Linked DNA regions of Arabidopsis thaliana. The protein of the gene in region 1 purifies or fractionates together with the protein of each later gene. This does not show direct contact. Each region holds a gene or a part of one and is shown in the gene's direction. Other genes may lie near its edges.

Region 1 (5,456 bases):
TTTAATATTTGTTAGTTCACTTTTTTATTTTAAATTTTAAGGAAGTAATTACTATTTTTAAAAATGTTAGTTAATTAGATGCTAAATATGTTAATTATTAATGTGGCAGCTCCTGACTGGTCGTTTAAAATCCGACGTGGACGGCTTTAGAAGCAAATAGTTTTATCACCACCTTCATCATCCCACCTTCCGCGTGGCAAGTTTGGAACACTGATCATCAAGTGATCAAAAGATGGATTAGCTCCATTCTTGAATCAGGAGGTAACCAATCTGTTTAACGGAAGTAATCTCATTTTGATATTCAAGTGCAGCCCAACTCAACAAGGTTGTGGTAAATGACATTAGTCAAACAAATTTTACGTTGTCACCAGCATCATAATATCCTCTAATCAAATTCACCTAGGAAATCAAAAACACCCATAAATTTGTTCAGTCTATAAGAGATAACATATTGCCAAAACTTATGAAATAAGGTTCCATTTCGGAAAACATATATATACATATATAGAGAGATGTTTAAAAGTATAGTTGGTTTACATTAGCTGATGCACTATGAGAAAGGCCAGAATCAGCTCGCCATTTAACCCTTTGGTTAGTCGGGACTTTACCGGATATTTATAGATACCCTATGCAAGTAAAGTTGCGTACGTAATTTTAGGGTAATTTTGCATGCACTTTAATTAATATTTCTAATTGTCAGCATTTTCTTATCTAATATATTTTCATCAATTCTAATTACTTACAAAAAGGAGAAATCTTAGGACATTGTTAATATTATATTTTATTAAAAGATAAATATTTTAGTTATTGAAAGTTTATTAAACGGTTAGAATATTTAACGGAAAAACTTTTAGAATATTTATAATATGTGAAATCTTTATAAACTAAATAATCATTTGAAAGAAAACTTTGATTTGAATTATAAATCTTTGAATAAAAGTATTATTAAAAAAAAATAAAAAACAATAATGTTTAATTTTACCGAACATGATTAGATGGTAGAACGGGTTTATAATGTTATAATATATGAACTTTACAACAATTAAATAACTATTTGAAAGAAAACTTTTAAATTGATTTGAATTATATATCTTTTAAATCAACGTATTATTAAACAAAATAACAAAATAATGTTTAATTTCACTGAACAGAGTTAGATGGTAGGACGGGTTTAGTCGATAGTAATACGAGACGATATATTACGGGTAAAGTACATTAAATATATTTAATTTCACTGAACATGATTAGATAGTATGACAGTTTTGGGTCGATAATAATACGAGACGGTATACTACGGGTGAAATCCTAGATATAACAGTCAAAATACAATTATATTATCTTAAACACTAAGCAAAACAAATAATATTAATAAAACAAATATAATTTAAATTTAAATTATATAGTTATAATTTAGATCTTAACTTAATGAACTATATGTTAGTGTTTCTATATTTTTAATCAGTAAAAATCAAACATAGTAATTGTATACTAAATATTTATAGATATAAGAGTTGTCCATTTGGAAAATATATAAAAAGATTTAATCTATTAAATAAATTATTTCTTTTTAATTTTTTAAAAAATATTATAGCTTCGCGCTGTACGTATGTTATAATATTGTAGATCTAGAAAACAAATCACTTAGCCACGTGTAAAAATAAAGCGCGTGATCTTAATCAAGCAAAGGGTTTTGTTTACAAACTCCTGGGCCGTCTTTAAAAGCCCAATAACCGGCCCAAACATTCTCAGTAGTATTTCGACCTAACCCCTTATTTAGACGCATCCTTATTCGATTAAAGATAATAACATAAACTTATCTCTTTGCCTTGTCTGCTTTTCATCCAAAGGTCCAATTAGCCTCTGAAGCCCAAATCTCTCTCTCTCTTTCTCTCTTTCTCGCTTTCTCAATCTACTCGCCGGAGATCGGCTCGATTCCTCCGTCACCACCGCATCTAACCGGCGATTTTCATTCCGTCTTCTCTACTTCACAACGCAGAGCTTCAATTTCTCCCTCGCAGGTATTTTTCACGAAACCCTAAACTCTGGATCTAATTTCGCCTGGATCTAATTGGGGATTTTAGAGTTTTGCCTCGATTGTTTGTTAAATTGTTAGCTTTTGGTCTACTCTGCGAAAATACGTTTGGTTCATTTACTTTATGCAATTACCATACTGGATCTGCTAATTCTGAAATAATTCAACTCATAGGACAATTTTACTGGGTTGATAAAGTTCTTAAGGTCGTTTAGGAGCCAAGTTCAAATGTTTTGGTTTAACTCATGGAGGCAAATTAATTTTGAAAAAAAAACTTGAAATTGTTGTTTGTGTTTGTGTGTGTGTGTGATTTAAAGAAAAAAGCCCGATCTTATAAACTTCTGTGTTTTGTTTGAATCAGTTTCGTTATGTTGAAGACTTTATAATCTGGGCTCTAGTTTTTGATTTGCAGCCCATGTTTGATCGACTCTTAGGACCTTTTAAAACTTCAGATCTGTTTTTTTTCTCTCTCTCTTTTTAAGTTGTTGGATCTACGCGATGTTGTCAAATACCGATTTTGCCCTTATACCAATCTTATTATTTACCGTTGGTCATGGCCTTTTGGAATAGGCCCAATGTTTAATCATTGTTATTATTATAGTGGGCTTTGTTTGGGTAACAGTTATTTTCCTTTTTATGTTATGTTGCAAAGAAGATGGAAGTGTACAATGACGATACTGAAATGAGGTCACCAGAGACACAACCAATCAAGGAAACAGCTTTGGAAGTGTACAATGATACTGCTGAAATAAGGTCACCAGAGACACAACCAATAGAGGAAACAGCTTTGGAAGTGTACAATGACACTGAAATGGTTTCACCAGAGACCCAACCGATCAAGCGACGCAAGAAGAAGTCGATGGTGTGGGAACATTTCACAATCGAGGCGGTAGAACCGAACTGCAGAAGAGCTTTTTGCAAAGGATGTAATCAGAGTTTTGCTTACAGCAACGGTAACAAAGTGGCTGGTACTAGCCATCTTAAGCGTCACATTTTTAAGGGGACATGTCCTGCACTTATCCATACGCATGACAATGACAACAACCCACTGATGTCTACTCCTTACACTCCCAAGACTGACACTCCGAGAAGGCGTTACCGGTCTCAGAACAACGCTAGTCCCTATGTTGCGTTTAATCAGGACAAGTGTCGTCAAGAGATAGCTAAGATGATCATTATGCATGACTACCCTCTTCACATGGTTCAGCATCCAGGTTTTGTCTCGTTCGTGCAGAGTATTCAGCCTCACTTTGATGCTGTGAGCTTTAACAATGTTCAAGGAGACTGTGTGGCGACTTACCTTGCTGAAAAGCAGAATGTCATGAAGTCTTTAGAAGGGATTCCTGGACGCTTCTGTCTAACGCTCGACTTTTGGACCTCCAAGCTAACTCTTGGGTATGTGTTTATAACTGCTCACTACATTGACAGCGATTGGAAGATACAAAAGAAGCTTCTCAATGTTTTGATGGAATCGTATCCAGAAGCTGACGAAGCCTTGAGTCTCGCGGTTGCAAATTGTGTTTCTGAATGGGGTCTGGAGGGAAAGTTGTTTAACGTCACCTTTAACCACCCGGCGAGTAACTCTGCGGTTGAAAACATCAGACCTCAACTCTGCATCAAGAACCCTGGGATTCTGGATGGTCAGTTGGTAATAGGGAATTGTGTTGCCCGAACATTTGGTAGCCTCGCTAAAGATGTCCTGGAGAAAGGGAAAGATGTGATCAAGAACATCCGGGACAGTGTGAAGCATGTGAAAACGTCAGAGTCCCATGAGGAGAGGTTTACTGAGCTCAAGGAACAGCTTCAAGTTCCAAGCGAGAAGGTGCTTTCTCTTGATGATCAGACGCAATGGAACACAACATATATGATGCTTGTGGCTGCTTCAGAATTAAAGGAAGTGTTCTCGTGCTTAGACACTGCTGATCCTGACTACAAGAAACCTCCTTCAGCAGAGGATTGGAGGCATGTGGAGGCACTTTGCACATTCCTGAAGCCTCTTTTCGAAGCAGTCTCCACTCTTCAATCTACTGGAAACCCATCTGCTGTTACCTTCTTCCATGAAGTGTGGAAGACACAGTCAGATTTGTCTCGGGCGATAGCTGGAGAGGATCCTTTTGTCACAGGTATTGCTAAAACCATGCAAGAGAAGGTAGACAAGTACTGGAGAGACTGTAGCTTGGTTTTGGCAATGGCCGTGGTGATGGATCCTCGGTTCAAGATGAAGCTTGTCGAGTTCAGTTTCTCCAAGATATTTGGAGAAGATGCTGGGAAGAACATCAAGACTGTGGATGATGGGATCCACGAGCTCTTCACCGAATACATGGCGCTCCCGTCGCCCCAAAACACGACATCTGAAGGTGGGAAAGCAGATGGACTGTCGGATTTTGACACGTACATAATGGAGACAACGGGGCAGAATCTGAAATCAGAGCTGGACCAGTACCTTGATGAAACCCTGCTTCCCAGGGTTCAGGAGTTTGATGTTCTTGACTGGTGGAAACAGAACAAGCTCAAGTACCCGACCTTGTCAAAGATGGCTAGAGACATCCTTTCAATCCCGGTTTCAGCTGCAGCCTTTGACTATGTCTTTGACATGGAACCGAGGGAAATGGATGAGTACAAGACGTCACTGAGGCCCGAGACAGTGGAGGCTCTGATTTGCGCAAGGGAATGGCTTCTTGAGAGTAATGCTTCTTCTTCCGCAGCTGCGCAAAATGCAAGTGCTACCATCAAATCTGAAGCATAGGTGAGACTTTGCTTCATTATCTCTAAATGTTGTTGTTTTCTAGAAGTTTATGTATGTTGTCTTTTGTGGTTAGTCTTAAACCCACCGTGTGATTTGCTATTAGGAGCTTCCCTCTTTAAGATATCTACTGCACATTTTAAAATGCTCCTTCTTAGATGAACTCTATAGCACATCTTCAACTGAACTAAAAGCCTCGTTGAATCCTATCTTTCAATTCCAAAACTGAAAGTCTTTATTCTAACAATTTTTACAACGTATATGAGTAATTAAAGCTCTAGACAACTGTTTTGGTACATGGAGATTTTTTAAAACAACTCTTGAAAGAAATATAAGAACAAAAGGTATTGTAATGCAATGACTATAGTATACTATCAAGAAGGCAACCTAATGTTAAGCCTCCTTAACCAAACCGAGTGAAGAATCATGTGGATCACATCAAATGGTTGAGCCGGACGGTTCACCACAAAATGCCTTCTAACTTTCATAACATTTCGATACATCCTTAAATATTTGTCATGTGGAATCTCTTGCAAAATCTTCTTAATATCAGGAATTTTGTCGACCGGGATCTCAACCGAGAACTTGCTCCAATCAAGCACGTCGTTGAACGGAAGCGAGTAGTTGTCCGATATGACAACCGGGACGCAGCCTGAGTAGATGGCTTCGACCTCTCTAGGA
Region 2 (5,548 bases), on another chromosome or scaffold:
ATCTCATTTGACTGAAAAATTTGAGACCCTCATCAATTAGCCCAGCATGACCACAAGCTGACAATACAGCAAGAAGAGTAACCCCATCAGGTTTTAGACCAAACTTCTGCATTTCATCAAACTGGTAAAGTGCTTCTCTGGGTTGACCATGAGATCCATACGCAGAGATCATTACCGTCCATGATACAACATCCTTCTTTGGTATACTGTTGAAAATCCTAAAAGCCTCTTTTTCATTGCCGCATTTAGAATACATGTCAAGAAGCGCACTCAAAAGCAACTCGTCTGTTTCGAGCCTGCTCTCACTAATGGACAAATGAATCTGTTTGCCTTTCTCTAACGCAGCCAGTTGCGAACAAGCAGGTAAAACACTTGTGAAAGTTACCACGTCTGGCTTCACTCCAACACTCACCATTTGGTCATACACTTCAACAGCCTTAAACCAATTACCTACACTGATATAACTAGAAATCATGACATTCCATGACTCAGCAACGTCCTTCTGTGTCTTTGAAAAGACGGTTTCAGCCAAATTTGCTTCACCACACTTGAAGTATAGATCAATCAAGGAACAGTTCACATAGATATCTGCATTTACAACGCTTCTAATCACATAACCGTGTATAAATTTTCCATGTAGGAGATTCCGTGAGCGAGAGCAAGCCATCAAAATGCTGGTCAAGGTTGTCTGACTCGGTCGAGTTCCTTCTATGATCATTCTATTCAAAATCTCAACACATGACTTACTGTCTCCTTTAGCGACATAACCTTTGATCATAGAATTCCAAGCAACCAAACTCTTTCTAGGCATTTTCTGAAAAACCTCCCTAGCCACCTCCAAGCAGTCACATTTCCCATACATATCAACAAGGGCAGAGTTTACATACTCATCTAACTCAAACCCTTTCTTCACACATTTTCTATGTATCTCCTTCCCTCTCTCCAACCACAACAGCCTTGAACACGCCGATATAGCCACCGTCAACGAAACTGAATTTGGTTCAAAGCCAGAACTTTCCATTCTTCCAAACAACTCCAAAGCCTTCTCTGCCTCTCCACTTTGATAAAAACACGAAATAACCGTGTTCCAAGATGCTACATCTCTCTCAGGCATTTCATCGAACACTTGTAGTGAATTCTCAAACAAGTTAAACTTTGCATACATACCAACCAAAGAACTCGCCACAACCACATCACAAACATACCCACTCTTCACCACAAGAGTATGAATCATCCTACCAAGAAACTCTCTACCCAACGCACCATAAGCCTTAATCACATTCGGAAAAGTAAACGAATCAGGGACACAAATTGAGCAATTCAACAACCTCTTGAAAACCTCAAGAGTGTCATGAAACATTGAGTTCTTTGAATAACCAGACATTAAAGAGTTCCATATGTAAACATCCGATCGTATATCGAAGTTCTCGAAGACGTGTCTCGCTGAGCAATGGTCTTTACAAGTAAAGTAGACATTGATGAGACTTTTGCATAAAACTACGTCTCTTCGTAACCCCAACGTGAGTATTCTCTGATGCACAAGCTTGATTCTTCTTAGAGACTTGGTGCTATTGGTACACTCTCGCAATAAAGACAACAACTTTGAAGATTCCATTTCAAGTTCACATTTTTTTTTGTCGTGAGAGATTGAAATGTGATCAGTCGCTGCTTTAGCTAAATTATAAAGGAAAGACATGATTCAAACTACGACGTCGTTTATACTAATGGGCCAAACTTAATTAGGCCCAAAATGATTTATTTTTCTAAATTAGCGATGCGTTTTAAAACCCTAGGTTACAAAAACGCGCCGTTAGCAATAAAAACGCAGCGTTTTGAGAATCTCTGAACCTTCTTCAACAACTATAAAAACCATCTTAAACCCTAGCAGAATCGCGGCTCCTGATTTTAGCTCTCTCTAAAGCTGTAGTTGTGCGTTAACCCTCTAAGGTACTGAATCTCTCTCGCCCTCTCTTTCTTCGTTGTTATGGCAAATAAGCTTCCAAAATTCTAAGACTTTGACAAAGTATAGTTCTGTTCTTTGTCGGATTTTCAAGAATTTGAACAGAGTATCTGCCTTAACTATTATTCTGATTTGTAAACTTCGAAACAGGGAAAAAGTTTTACCTTGAATATTGTTTCGTACTAGCTTAATGGCTTTAGCTCGTAAAACACTAACTTGCAAGTTTGGTGACTTTGAGTTGATTCAAGGGTTTCTCTTAATCTTGTTTTTTCTTCTTTTCAGGAGCTTGTAAAAATGCTAATACTGTTTGAGACGCCAGGTGGTTTTGCCATCTTCAAAGTATTAAACGAAGGAAAGCTCTCTAATGTTGAGGTTACTAACTAAATCATTCTCCTTTGTTCATTTATCTTAACCTTGTTTCTGTGTGTGGTTTGGTTTTTTAATTCTAAGTATGTCAAATTTGTGATTGTAGGATTTGGGTAATGAGTTCTCGACCGCAAAGTTAGCCCGAAAGGTGATTTATTTTGTTCTAGACATAGTTCAAATTTTGTATCTGGCTAATAATATTTGTTTCTCATAGCAATTTTTGGTGTGTTGTTACAGATGGTGAAGCTAGTAGCTTTTGACAAGTTTGACAACACAGCTGAAGCTCTTGAAGCAGTGGCTAAATTGCTTGAGGGAACTCCAAGCAAGGGTCTACGCAAGTTTTTGAAAGCTAACTGTGTTGGTGAAACATTAGCTGTTGCTGATTCTAAGCTTGGAAATATCATCAAGGAGAAACTGGTGTGTATTTTGTTCCGATACGCTCTTTTATTTCTGAGTAAGGGTTGTTTCTTACGGTTTTGCTTCACTCGTGTAGAAAATAGTCTGTGTTCACAACAATGCTGTTATGGAGCTGTTAAGAGGTATCAGAAGCCAGCTAACTGAACTTATATCTGGATTGGGTGATCAAGATCTAGGTCCAATGAGCTTGGGGTTGTCTCACAGCCTTGCCAGATATAAACTAAAGTTCAGTTCCGACAAGGTAGTCATTTGATTTGTATTGGTTTTTGGTTCTCTGAATTATTTGTTGAGTTAGCCAACTTTTGATAAATTATGGAACTTTTGGTATCCCTTTTTTTACTCTTCCAACATTAGGTCTGAATTGCAATTGAGTTTGTCTATATATCCTGTGTTTGTTTGACCCTTATGTTACTTCACCTTGTACTTGTATGTTAGGTGGATACCATGATAATCCAAGCTATTGGTCTGCTTGATGATCTTGACAAAGAGCTTAACACTTACGCTATGAGGGTTCGTGAATGGTTTGGTTGGCATTTTCCTGAGCTTGCTAAGATCGTACAGGACAATATCTTATATGCCAAGGCTGTTAAACTAATGGGGAATCGGATTAATGCTGCAAAGCTAGACTTCTCTGAGGTAAAGGCCTGTTTGAGTATTTGACTTCCTTGTGCTTAACACTAGTTTTTTTTTTTTTGAAACATTGTTTCTGTGTCCTCCTCTCAGATATTGGCTGATGAAATTGAAGCAGAACTGAAAGAGGCTGCTGTGATATCTATGGGAACTGAAGTCAGTGACCTTGATTTATTGCACATCCGAGAACTCTGTGACCAGGTTCTTTCTCTTGCCGAGTACAGAGCTCAGCTTTATGACTACTTGAAGAGCAGAATGAACACAATTGCACCAAATCTAACTGCCCTTGTCGGGGAGCTAGTCGGTGCTCGCTTAATATCTCACGGTGGTAGTTTGTTGAACCTCGCAAAGCAACCTGGAAGCACGGTTCAGATTCTTGGAGCTGAAAAAGCCTTATTTAGAGCCCTTAAGACCAAACACGCTACTCCAAAGTATGGTTTAATTTTCCATGCATCTGTTGTTGGCCAAGCTGCACCGAAGAACAAGGGTAAAATTTCACGGTCACTAGCTGCAAAATCTGTTCTTGCTATCCGTTGTGATGCTCTTGGTGACTCCCAAGACAACACTATGGGAGTTGAAAACCGTTTAAAGGTATCCTTCAATTTTTTTTTTTCCGATCTTCCTCTCGATCTGATCTAAAAATACTCTACCTTGATTGATGTTTACCATGCGGGCTATTTTCTTCTGACAGCTTGAAGCACGGTTGAGAACTCTCGAAGGAAAAGATTTAGGACGTCTATCTGGCTCAGCTAAAGGCAAACCAAAGATTGAAGTATATGACAAAGATAAAAAGAAAGGATCCGGAGGTCTGATCACTCCTGCTAAGGTCAGATTATTCCTCTGCTAGTTTGTTTCTTCAACTTTCTTTTGTAATTATGAATTCTGGATTTGTGCAATTGTGTTTTGGATATATTACCTGTAATGTTGCTTAAAGGATTAAGCTGTTTGTTGTTGTTGTTGTTGTTGTATTCTGCAGACATACAACACTGCTGCAGACTCTCTTCTTCAAACTCCCACAGTGGATTCAGAGAACGGTGTGAAAGAGAAGAAAGACAAAAAGAAGAAGAAGAAGGCTGATGATGAGGAAGAAGCCAAAACTGAGGAGCCCTCAAAGAAGAAATCGAATAAGAAGAAGACAGAAGCAGAACCTGAAACCGCCGAAGAGCCTGCAAAGAAGGAGAAGAAGAAGAAGAGAAAACACGAGGAAGAGGAAACTGAAATGCCTGCTAAGAAGAAGGAAAAGAGTGAGAAGAAGAAGAAGAAGAAAACTGAGGTCTGAAGAGACCTTTAATATTTTTGCGTGGTCTAGTTTACTTTGTTATCAGAAACAAAGAAAATCTTTTGTGGCGTTAGGTGTTAAGTAAGGTTTTTGTTTTGTTTGAAACTTAAAAAAAAGAACTACTCTTCGTTTTGTAAGGTTATAATATGTTTGGTTTAGTCCTTATCCCAGAAACTTGCATTTTGCCAAACGAGTCAAGACCTTACCGTTAAATCCTTCTAATCTTAGTATAACGTAATTACTCATAGTTGATTAGTTCATAAATTTGTAAAGATCAGTCCGAAGAGTCGACATTTTTCATCAAGTGTATCATTGACATTTTAAAAAACCTTGTACAAAATGAATATTTGTGAGTCTAAAAAGTACCTTAATAGTCAATTGGAAATGGATTGGGTTGAGCATAAGGCAAATCATACCAGACCTTAGAAATTTCAAAAGATAAATAAAATCTAGAGTCTACCTACTTTGTGTGTGTATATATTTTTATTGTGCTATAAATTTTGTGATGAATATGAATCAAAATTCTTTCTGAATATTTCGTGATAATGGTTCCGTCAATATCAAAATTTACTACTGAACATATATGTTTTAAAATATTTAACTGGATTTTAATTCATAAAGTTTTTTTTATTTTTAATTAAATTTAGTTGCCGTGGAAAAAGTTTAATCTATAGTGTTTTATGTAATCATTGTAGGTAATGTTCAAAAAATCTGCCTAGACACCTATCGAACTGGATTTTAATTTATAAAGTCTTTTTATTTGTAAGTAAACTAGTAGGCAGCCCGTGCCTTGCACGCAAAACAACAATACCAATAATATATTTCGTGTCTTTGAAATTTGCAACAATTACACAAATGACGAATATCACAACCTCACAAAATACAATGTGTATCAC
Region 3 (5,613 bases), about 13 Mb from region 1:
AGCAACATGCCGAGAAGAAAGGTCTTAGAAGCTCTCTGTGTTGTTTTCCCAGACTCCAAACTAAACCCGTCTAGCCCGAATCAAAACTTTGGTTTCTAGTTTGGGATGTCTTTATCAAACCACAGTAAATCGAATCAAACCAAAAAACGCAGTTCCATTAATGATCAAACTAGATTACCACCGATGTTGAACCAAATTTAGAGAAAAACCGGACCGCACTTAATTCTACTCGGAAATAAATTGCGACTTTCTTTGATTCACACAAGAAGATAAACCTACTATGTCTATGCCAATGGCTGTAGGATTTTACATGGTCTACTCACTTCGAATGCTTTAACAGTTAAACAAAATCGAGTAGAATATACTGTTCAGTGGTGGCTTTCTTTGATGACGTCGTTGGGTTTCAACTTTCTATGGTGTTACCATCAGCTTCAGCCATCTCACGTTCTTTCTCTTGCTCCTCTGCAATTAGATGATGAAAGTGCATGTGTTAGTTCCATAATAAACAAACACCAACAGATCACTCTATTTTGGACTTCTATGATTTGGTATCATACTACCAACAGATTCAGTGAAATGTTACTCACTTACTCACGAACCACAGACTAATGTCTTAATTATCAAGCTTACATAGAAGATATCAGTATGTAGATACAGTTGCCACTTACCCATGAGTTTATGCATTGCCTTTTGAGTCCGCCTTTCGAGCTTATCAAGCTTCTTCTGCACATCTCTTCGGAGGTCCCAGTTTGGCTTCTTTGGAGCGATGTTAACAAATGGGTCCTACAATGATAACATTTTTTGTAAGCTTAAGAGGCACAAGTAAAGGAAACAACAATGCTAAACAGAGTCGCTTTTGGTGATCCTTGTACAGAGAAAAGAAAAACTGTCACACACACCTCTTTCTTCTCTACAGCAGGTGGAAGTGCAACGATCGGATCTTCGAATTTGGGTAGCTCTGGTGGCGCTAGTTTACCATCCTGAAGCTCCTTAGCTTGGGGAACATAGTTTCTAAACTTCATGGCTGGACCACTGTAAAATCAAAGACAATTCATATGAATAAAAAGGGAATCTACCTCGAATAATCAATCAACAAAACCAACCACCTAAGCAAAGTATACACAACAATGCAACTTGAAATTGGAAAAAATTGTTAGGTAACAGATGCTGCAAGAGCACCATTATTGATTCTCTCACAAACAGTGATAGTAAAGGCGAGAAGCAAAGCACAAGAGAAGCTCCTAGTTATGCTAAAGCCAACACACAACATTAACAACTCCATGTGCTAGTCAAGACAAACAAAATAAGCAAAGAACAAAGCAAACTCACTCTTCTTCGACAGCTTCATCCTCTCCGTCTTCCTTGGTCTCAGACAGTTCCTGAGCTGCCCTTAGAGCTTTAAGTGCCTCTTTACGAGCAGCAGCTTTTTGTTCAATCGATTCATCTTCACTAGCCATTATAACTTCCTGCAAAATTAGGTTATCGACGTAAACATCGAACACTAGCCCAGCTTCTTCAAACACTAATCACACAACTACAGAGTATAACCCTAAACAACACGCAAAATCGTGATTTTCAGGATCCACGGAACTAATCAGATGAAGTTTTAGCAAAATCAGAGCTATACTATGAAATAAAGTTGAAGAGAAGTATGGAAAACGCTATCTACCCAGAAAATCAACGAGAAAATTTGAAACCGTACCTTGAAGCTTCGAGCTCTATAAATTCGAGACAAATTTGTTGAATACCACAGAGAAACAAAGGGATTAAAAAAGAAAAACTATTAAGGGGGAAGAGAACAATAAAACGCCCACGTATTAATATTATAAACGGGCCAGATTAAAATATCCATTCAGTCAGGCCCATTAATCTTAAAACCTAAACCCTAACTATGGAAGTTATAGAAATACCCCTTACAATACGCGGCGTTTTAAGAAGGCTCGGCTCGTCTTTAACTGCTATAACAACACACTCTTAAAACCCTAAGTGATTGTCCGTCTCCGTCTTCATCTTCTTCCTCTCTCTCACGCAGCTGCTTTGATTAACTCTTCAGGTATTTAATATCTCTCATCTTCTCTCTTCACGGTGTTTCACTTTTCCATTCTTGCTGGAGATTGTGGAGTTTCGAATACTCATACTCGGACAGAGTTTTAAGGCTATTGTAGTTTATCTCTCTGTTTTTTCTTCTCCTGTATTTCTTATGTGATCTAAAAGTAGGATTAGGGTTTATATGGAATGCTGTTTCTCGCTAGTTTTTAATCTCAAAACGAACTTTTAGTTTAATTAGTGTGACTCGGACACGTATCTTTACTGTTCTGAGTTAAGTGTTGTCTTAATTTTCTCTTCAGGTCCAGCTTAAGAGTTTTGTGAAGATGGTCTTAGTGCTATACGAGACAGCGGCGGGGTTTGCCCTCTTTAAAGTTAAAGATGAAGGAAAGATGGCTAACGTCGAGGTGAGTTCTCTTCATTCTTTTGTACTCTCTTTGCTTATCCTTAAGGCTCTAAAAGTATTCATGGATTATTTTTTATTTTTTTTTGCAGGATTTGTGTAAAGAGTTCGACACTCCAGACTCAGCACGAAAGGTAATTTTTTTGCTTCTTCATCAAGTGTGGTTTCAGAACATCTAAAATTAGATTTAGTGTTGAGTTTCTCATATGTTTTTATTGGTGTACCAGATGGTTAAGCTAAAAGCTTTTGAGAAGTTTGACAATACATCTGAAGCTCTCGAAGCTGTGGCTAAATTGCTGGAGGGAGCTCCAAGCAAAGGTCTGCGCAAGTTTTTGAAAGCTAATTGTCAAGGTGAAACCTTGGCTGTGGCTGATTCAAAGCTTGGGAATGTTATCAAGGAGAAACTGGTTTGTAATTCCCATCATTACACCCATATTCCTGTCTGCTCTGTGTTTTGTTTCTAATGAAAGTTCTTAATTTCATACAGAAAATTGATTGCATTCACAACAATGCTGTTATGGAGCTTCTACGTGGTGTTAGAAGTCAGTTTACTGAACTCATATCTGGGTTGGGTGATCAAGACTTGGCTCCTATGAGCTTGGGTCTGTCTCACAGTCTCGCCAGATATAAGCTAAAGTTTAGTTCTGACAAGGTATCTTCGGTTCCTGACTAATTGTATTGGTCTTTTTATTTGGTGATATGATATGTGAAGTATATGAATTTGTTAATTGATCGAAGCTAACTTGTGTTAAATTATGGAACTTCTGTATTGAACTAGCCTTTGATTGTCCGACATTAAACGTTTCCTGTGTTTGTTTTTGCTTCTCTTGCATCTCCTAACTGTTTAGTTTTTGTCAGGTGGATACCATGATTATCCAAGCTATTGGTCTGCTTGATGATCTTGACAAAGAGCTGAACACATACGCCATGAGGGTTAGAGAATGGTATGGATGGCATTTTCCCGAGCTTGCTAAGATCATATCAGACAATATCCTATATGCCAAATCTGTTAAATTGATGGGAAACCGAGTTAATGCTGCTAAGCTAGACTTCTCCGAGGTAACTTTCAATTTTGTAAACTGTGTAGAGGCTTCCATGAACAAACGCCTTGATTAACGACCTAATATTCTCCTGTTTCTGGTTTCATTGTAGATCTTAGCAGATGAAATTGAGGCAGATCTTAAGGACGCAGCTGTGATATCCATGGGAACAGAAGTCAGTGACTTAGACTTGTTGCACATCCGTGAACTCTGTGACCAGGTTCTCTCTCTTTCTGAGTACAGAGCTCAGCTTTACGATTACCTAAAGAGCAGAATGAACACTATTGCTCCCAATCTGACTGCCCTGGTAGGAGAGCTTGTTGGTGCTCGTCTTATTTCCCATGGAGGTAGTTTATTGAACCTCTCCAAGCAACCTGGGAGCACGGTTCAGATACTCGGAGCCGAAAAAGCTCTCTTTAGAGCTCTTAAGACAAAACACGCCACACCCAAGTACGGTTTGATTTTTCACGCATCTCTGGTTGGTCAAGCAGCACCAAAGCACAAGGGAAAGATCTCGCGGTCTTTAGCTGCTAAAACTGTTCTTGCTATTAGGGTTGATGCTCTTGGTGATAGCCAAGATAACACTATGGGCCTTGAAAACCGAGCTAAGGTAACAAAATTCTTCAATAGCTTTCCTCTTGTTGGTATCTCTCTGAACAATCTTTTTTCCTCCTTCTTAACTGATGATGTTTCTGATATGTGTTAAAAACTCACAGCTTGAAGCGCGGTTGAGAAATCTTGAAGGAAAAGATTTAGGTCGTCTGTCTGGTTCATCTAAAGGCAAACCTAAGATTGAAGTCTATAACAAGGATAAAAAGATGGGATCAGGCGGTCTTATCACTCCTGCTAAGGTCACGATCATTCTCTCTGTTTTTGATTCATCATCTTTTCTTCTAATTTTGGATGTGTGTACATATTGTCTTTGTTCTTGGGATTATGATGAAGTGATCTTGACTGTTTTTTGTTATGTGCAGACTTACAACACTGCTGCAGATTCTCTTCTTGGGGAAACCTCAGCTAAATCTGAGGAGCCATCAAAGAAGAAAGATAAGAAAAAGAAGAAGAAGGTAGAAGAAGAGAAACCCGAAGAGGAAGAGCCATCAGAGAAAAAGAAGAAGAAGAAAGCTGAAGCAGAAACTGAAGCCGTAGTAGAGGTTGCAAAGGAGGAGAAGAAGAAGAATAAGAAGAAGAGAAAGCATGAGGAAGAAGAAACAACGGAGACACCAGCCAAGAAGAAGGATAAGAAAGAGAAGAAAAAGAAGAGTAAGGACTGAGGGAGAGAAACCGATTTTGAGAAATCTCTTGAGTGTAAGATTAATAACTGTTTTTGTTGAATTGCATTTTATCTAGAGGAATAGGTGTTTTAAGATGAAACTTAAATTTTCTGAAATCGTCATTTTGAATGATGGATTCATATTTAAATCCTTTTCACCCGAACTTTATTTTTGTTCTAGCCTTCCAGACTCTAGATTATTAATTTTGGAACTCTTTTTTCAATTTATAGTTTGTAGTTGTACAATATTCTTCTTGCATGATTTATATATATCTGGAAGAGGAAAGAATTGAAGAAAAATAATATATTCTGAAAAAATCAAATAGTTTTTTGCTACTAAACGTGTCTGTAGATTCACCAAATAAAATACTCTTTGATTTTGTTTTGATTTTAAAGATTTTTTACAGGCGTTAGTATCTTTTTCATGATCGTATTTCTCTTTGTTGACTATGCATGTTTATCTTTGGTTATTGTCTGGCAAGATTTTAATCAAATTAATGAGGTCAATAAAATTAGTATATCGTCTACAAGAATACATAGTAGTTAGCAATAATGCTGGGAATGAATGAATAAATAGATAATATATGTAGCTTTAAGTCATAAAAGAAATAAAATGGCTAATTCTAAAGGACAGACGTAAATCATTAGTTCCTTAAGCTTTTGTTCCTTGTTTGGTTTACAATAGAGTCTTGATAAAGGAGCTTCTTTGATTGGATAGATGAAGTAAACTCTCATTACATACCATATTTCTTATTTTATTTGTTTTTCCAATTCCTATTTTAATATTAAAAAAAACTCTTAGTGTTTATTTTAATAATAAATTCCAAAATTAGGTGGGTACATACCAAATA
Region 4 (4,294 bases), on another chromosome or scaffold:
GTCTCTCCGTAAGAAACATTATGCCTTCATCTGATTCCACGATGATGAAGAAAGGAACAAAGCGCAAAATCGAAATAAAGAAACGAGAAACCAAAGAGCAACGAGCCGTGACTTGCTCTAAACGCCGTCAAACTGTTTTTTCCAAAGCCGCCGATCTCTGTCTTATCTCCGGTGCTAACATCGCCGTCTTCGTAACCTCTCCCTCCGATAGTTCCGATGTTGTCTATTCCTTCTCCGGTTACTCCTCTGCCTACGAAATCGCTGATTGTTACCTAAATCGCAAGCCTCCACCCAAGATTGTTAACCCGGCCGGATCCAAACTAGGATTTTGGTGGGAAGACCCTGATCTCTACCATTCGTGTGATGATCTCTCTGAGTTAAGCATTATCGAGGATCGTTTACAGAGAATGAAGAAGCATGTGATGGCTTGCCTTGAGAAGGAAGAAAAATCTCAACTTGTTTCTAGTTTCGACCAAAACCCTAATAGTACTTGTTCTCTCGACGTCGAGGATTGTGATGGATCTTCTTATTCGCAAATTGCTTCTACTTTTACTCCAAACTCTGTCAACGAGTATTGCAGCGATCAAACCTTTTCTTCTTTCCATGGCGATCAAAACCCTAACCTCTCGTCTCCGTCTTTTGATCAGGACTGTTACTCCTCTCTCTATCAGATCTGTGGAGAATCATCTTCACAAGTTGCTTCTTTTGATCAAAACCCTAGCTCCGAGATCCAAGGATTTGAAACAGAGGAAGAGATTAACCAAATCAATCTACTACTACAAGAAACACAAACAGAGGCCAATGTCAATTTGGATGATGAGATCTGCTTTTGGAATGATCTATCCAACGATGATGTGTTTGGTCTAAACAGCTACTTCGGTCTCGATAACACCAATGCAATGATCAACTTCGGAGATTCCGACTTTAGACGTCATGTCTGATATGATGTGGTTGTAATCTTCAGAACTTGTTCTGATTTTGTCTCATTGTAAACAGAGATTCTTGATCCAATTTAAGTTTTTGTAAACCTTTTTTCCTTTATTGTTTGATACTCTGATGTGAACCCTTTCGAAGTTGAAAGTAAATTGTTTGAATCAGTTTTGCAATTCCACTTACTAGTTTGTTGATGTTAAATTCAAGTTAGTGATTTGAATTTGGATTCTCAGAAAAGAAGAACACAGTTTTTGGAGCTTTTGCTTGTAATTTTACATGAGTTTTAGCCTTTAGCTGAACACTTTTTGATTCCTTAATGGTCATCTTGTTAGGTGATGTGTTTGAACTTTGAACAGAGTACTTGAGATTAATTTAAGATTATGTATGTAACGTAGATTAGATGAACATATTTATACCAACATTTTATTAAAAAAGTAACTATAATCATTTTTCGAATTAGTAATTAATTTTATAGTTTCTTTAAGGTAATCATATATTTTACAATTTGTATATTAAAATTAGCAGATCAAACTCTGTTTTTGATAGAGAATAAATAAACTTTGTTTTTGATAATCTTTTCCCTTAGAAGTAAGGTCGGTTATTTTGACATCTTTAAAAATTAATTGTATAATTCTTTTTAGAAATATACCATTTTAAGAAAATAAGAATAGTTTTTTTTTTAAAGGTTTTTTTTTAGTTTTTTGTGAAAATTATATTTTCACATGTTTTTTTTCCGTAACTTTTTAATAGAAAATCATATATTTATTTTCTTATATATATAGATCGTCGATTAAGAATCTCGAACCCTTATAGCAAATTCGTTGCTCCTCTTTTTTTCTTTCTCTAACGCAGCAGCTTTGCTTAAATCCTCTTAGGTATTTATTGAATCTTTCTCCGTTGTCAGTGGAACGTGGCTTCCAAGTATTAGTTTTTGACTAAGTATAGTTCTGACTTTGAGATGTTGAGTTGATTAAAGGGTTTCTCGTAATCTTAAAGATGCTCGTACTGTTTGAGACGTCAGGTGGTTTTGCACTCTTTAAAGTATTAGATGAAGGAAAGCTCTCTAATGTTGAGGTTATTTACCTTATTCATTCTCTTACTTTCATTGATCTTAACCTTGTCTATATGTGTCGTTTGTTTTTAATATTCTAAGTATGTCAAATTTGTTCTTGTAGGATTTGGGTACTGAGTTCTACTCTGCAGAGTCAGCTCGAAGGATGGTTAAGCTAAAAGCTTTTCATAAGTTTGACAACACATCTGAACTCCAAGCAAGGGTCTACACAAGTTTTTGAAAAATAACTGTGATGATGGTGAAATCTTAGCTGTGGCTGATCCAAAGCTTGGAGATATCATCACAGAGAAACTGGTGTGTATTTTGTTATGATCTTTTACATATTTCTGTATATATATGGCTTGTGTCTTACGGATTTGCTTCTCTCCTCTAGGACATAGAATGTGTTCACAACGATGCTGTTATGGAGCTGTTACGAGGTGTGAGAAGTCAGTTAACCGAACTTTTATCCGGATTGGATGATAATGATTTAGCTCCAGTGAGCTTGGAATTGTCTCACATCCTTGCTAGATATAAACTAAAAATCACCTCTGACAAGGTAGTCATTGAGTTCTCTGTGTTTTGTTTTACCCTTGCTTATGTTACTTTTCCCCTCTCATACTTAAAATGTTTTGTTAGGTGGAGACCATGATAATCCTATCTATCAGTCTGCTTGATGATCTTGACAAAGAGCTTAACACTTACACTACGAGCGTTTGTGAATTGTACGGTTTGCATTTTCCCGAGCTTGCTAATATTGTACAGGACAATATCTTATATGCCAAGGTGGTTAAACTAATGGGGAATCGGATTAATGCTGCAACGCTAGACTTCTCTGAGGTAAAGCCTTATTTACCATTCTCCTTGACTTTTTGTTTCCATTAAACTATAGTTTTGTCTTTATGAAACATCTTTCTGTGTCCAATGTCATCTCAGATATTGGCTGATGAAGTTGAAGCAGAACTAAAAGAGGCTTCTATGGTGTCTACGAGAACTGAAGTCAGTGACCTTGATTTGATGCACATCCAAGAACTCTGTGACCAAGTTCTTTCAATCGCTGAGGACAAAACTCTGCTTTGTGACGACTTGAAGAACAAAATGAACAAAATTGCACCAAATCTAACTGCCCTTGTCGGGGAGCTAGTCGGTGCTCGCTTAATATCTCATTGTGGTAGTTTATGGAACCTCTCAAAGCTACCATGGAGCACAATTCAGATTCTTGGAGCTGAAAAGACCCTATATAAAGCCCTTAAGACCAAACAAGCCACTCCAAAGTATGGTTTAATCTACCACGCACCTTTGGTTAGGCAAGCTGCACCAGAGAACAAGGGTAAAATCGCACGTTCACTAGCTGCAAAATCTGCTCTTGCTATCCGGTGTGATGCTTTTGGTAATGGCCAAGACAACACTATGGGAGTCGAAAGCCGCTTAAAGGTATTCTTCTCTCCCGCCCGATCCTATCTACATTTTTCTTCCTTCTTTGATGGTCTAATTTTTTTCGACAGCTTGAAGCGCGCTTGAGAAATCTTGAAGGAGGAGATTTAGGAGCATGCGAAGAAGAAGAAGAAGTTAATGACAAAGATACAAAGAAGGAGGCTGATGATGAGGAAGAACCCAAAACTGAGGAGTGTTCGAAGAAGAGGAAGAAAGAAGCAGAACTTGAAACCGTGGAAGATCCCGCAAAGAAGAGCAAACAAGAGGGTGTAACAGGATTATTACTCCTGATGCTTTTAATTTCTCTAATCTATTTCTTTTCTGTTAACCAGTTGCTATGGTAAGCCATTAGCTCAGATATACAAAATTATGCGTGAGTAACACGTCTAGTTTCTTGACGTTTTGTTAGGATCATGTTGATACTCTTTCAAAGTCATTCAATTCAAAAACGGTTTCCCTTGTCATTTGGTTCGGTAGACTTGACAAAAAAAATAATCAGTTAAAGATGTGGTTAAGACCAACAAATATGTTCACAAGAACGTAAACATCAAGGTTCTGTCGCTTTAGACTTGATTTACAAGTGGATTTAAACATGATTAATTCACAAGCTAAACATCCATAAGAGTTGGATAAAAAAAAAATCCAATTCCATAAATAAATGAAAGAGAAAAGTGGATCAAAAACAAAATCAAATTTGTAAAAAGGTTATGTGGCTTTGAATTCCATAACCTTTGAATCACTCAATCGAACCTATTGAAATTGCGATGCTACTAAGAGCCGGACCATAACACATGAACATGAAACATTACAGTGGCCCCCATTCTAAAGGGGCCTCAAAGAAATTTTATTTTAGTTATATATACATATATTGATTTT

What was found.
Region 2: the proteins of DAYSLEEPER (region 1) and AT5G27120 fractionate together in Arabidopsis thaliana (co-fractionation; one large-scale study listed by BioGRID). This does not show direct contact.
Region 3: the proteins of DAYSLEEPER (region 1) and AT3G05060 fractionate together in Arabidopsis thaliana (co-fractionation; one large-scale study listed by BioGRID). This does not show direct contact.
Region 4: the proteins of DAYSLEEPER (region 1) and AT5G27140 fractionate together in Arabidopsis thaliana (co-fractionation; one large-scale study listed by BioGRID). This does not show direct contact.

Annotation. Positions count from the first base shown.
Region 1 is NC_003074.8:14,319,151-14,324,606, forward strand, and holds DAYSLEEPER (BED zinc finger and hAT dimerization domain-containing protein DAYSLEEPER), read left to right. Parts: upstream 1-1,792; 5' UTR 1,793-2,018; intron 2,019-2,684; 5' UTR 2,685-2,687; coding exon 2,688-4,778; 3' UTR 4,779-4,919; downstream 4,920-5,456. Other genes in the region: AT3G42180 (Exostosin family protein), read right to left, coding at 5,150-5,456.
Region 2 is NC_003076.8:9,539,033-9,544,580, forward strand, and holds AT5G27120 (NOP56-like pre RNA processing ribonucleoprotein), read left to right. Parts: upstream 1-1,828; 5' UTR 1,829-1,947; intron 1,948-2,242; 5' UTR 2,243-2,254; coding exon 2,255-2,332; intron 2,333-2,432; coding exon 2,433-2,474; intron 2,475-2,563; coding exon 2,564-2,743; intron 2,744-2,819; coding exon 2,820-2,984; intron 2,985-3,178; coding exon 3,179-3,379; intron 3,380-3,466; coding exon 3,467-3,964; intron 3,965-4,064; coding exon 4,065-4,199; intron 4,200-4,349; coding exon 4,350-4,652; 3' UTR 4,653-5,033; downstream 5,034-5,548. Other genes in the region: AT5G27110 (Tetratricopeptide repeat (TPR)-like superfamily protein), read right to left, coding at 1-1,615. UniProt on the Arabidopsis thaliana protein: Required for 60S ribosomal subunit biogenesis.
Region 3 is NC_003074.8:1,412,324-1,417,936, reverse strand, and holds AT3G05060 (NOP56-like pre RNA processing ribonucleoprotein), read left to right. Parts: upstream 1-1,880; 5' UTR 1,881-2,053; intron 2,054-2,348; 5' UTR 2,349-2,372; coding exon 2,373-2,453; intron 2,454-2,541; coding exon 2,542-2,583; intron 2,584-2,676; coding exon 2,677-2,856; intron 2,857-2,936; coding exon 2,937-3,101; intron 3,102-3,307; coding exon 3,308-3,508; intron 3,509-3,601; coding exon 3,602-4,099; intron 4,100-4,205; coding exon 4,206-4,340; intron 4,341-4,463; coding exon 4,464-4,763; 3' UTR 4,764-5,070; downstream 5,071-5,613. Other genes in the region: AT3G05070 (Cwf18 pre-mRNA splicing factor), read right to left, coding at 404-462, 669-783, 900-1,032, 1,330-1,457. UniProt on the Arabidopsis thaliana protein: Required for 60S ribosomal subunit biogenesis.
Region 4 is NC_003076.8:9,546,613-9,550,906, forward strand, and holds AT5G27140 (NOP56-like pre RNA processing ribonucleoprotein), read left to right. Parts: upstream 1-1,929; coding exon 1,930-2,007; intron 2,008-2,108; coding exon 2,109-2,153; intron 2,154-2,206; coding exon 2,207-2,299; intron 2,300-2,378; coding exon 2,379-2,543; intron 2,544-2,623; coding exon 2,624-2,824; intron 2,825-2,920; coding exon 2,921-3,418; intron 3,419-3,489; coding exon 3,490-3,762; downstream 3,763-4,294. Other genes in the region: AGL39 (AGAMOUS-like 39), read left to right, coding at 21-941. UniProt on the Arabidopsis thaliana protein: Required for 60S ribosomal subunit biogenesis.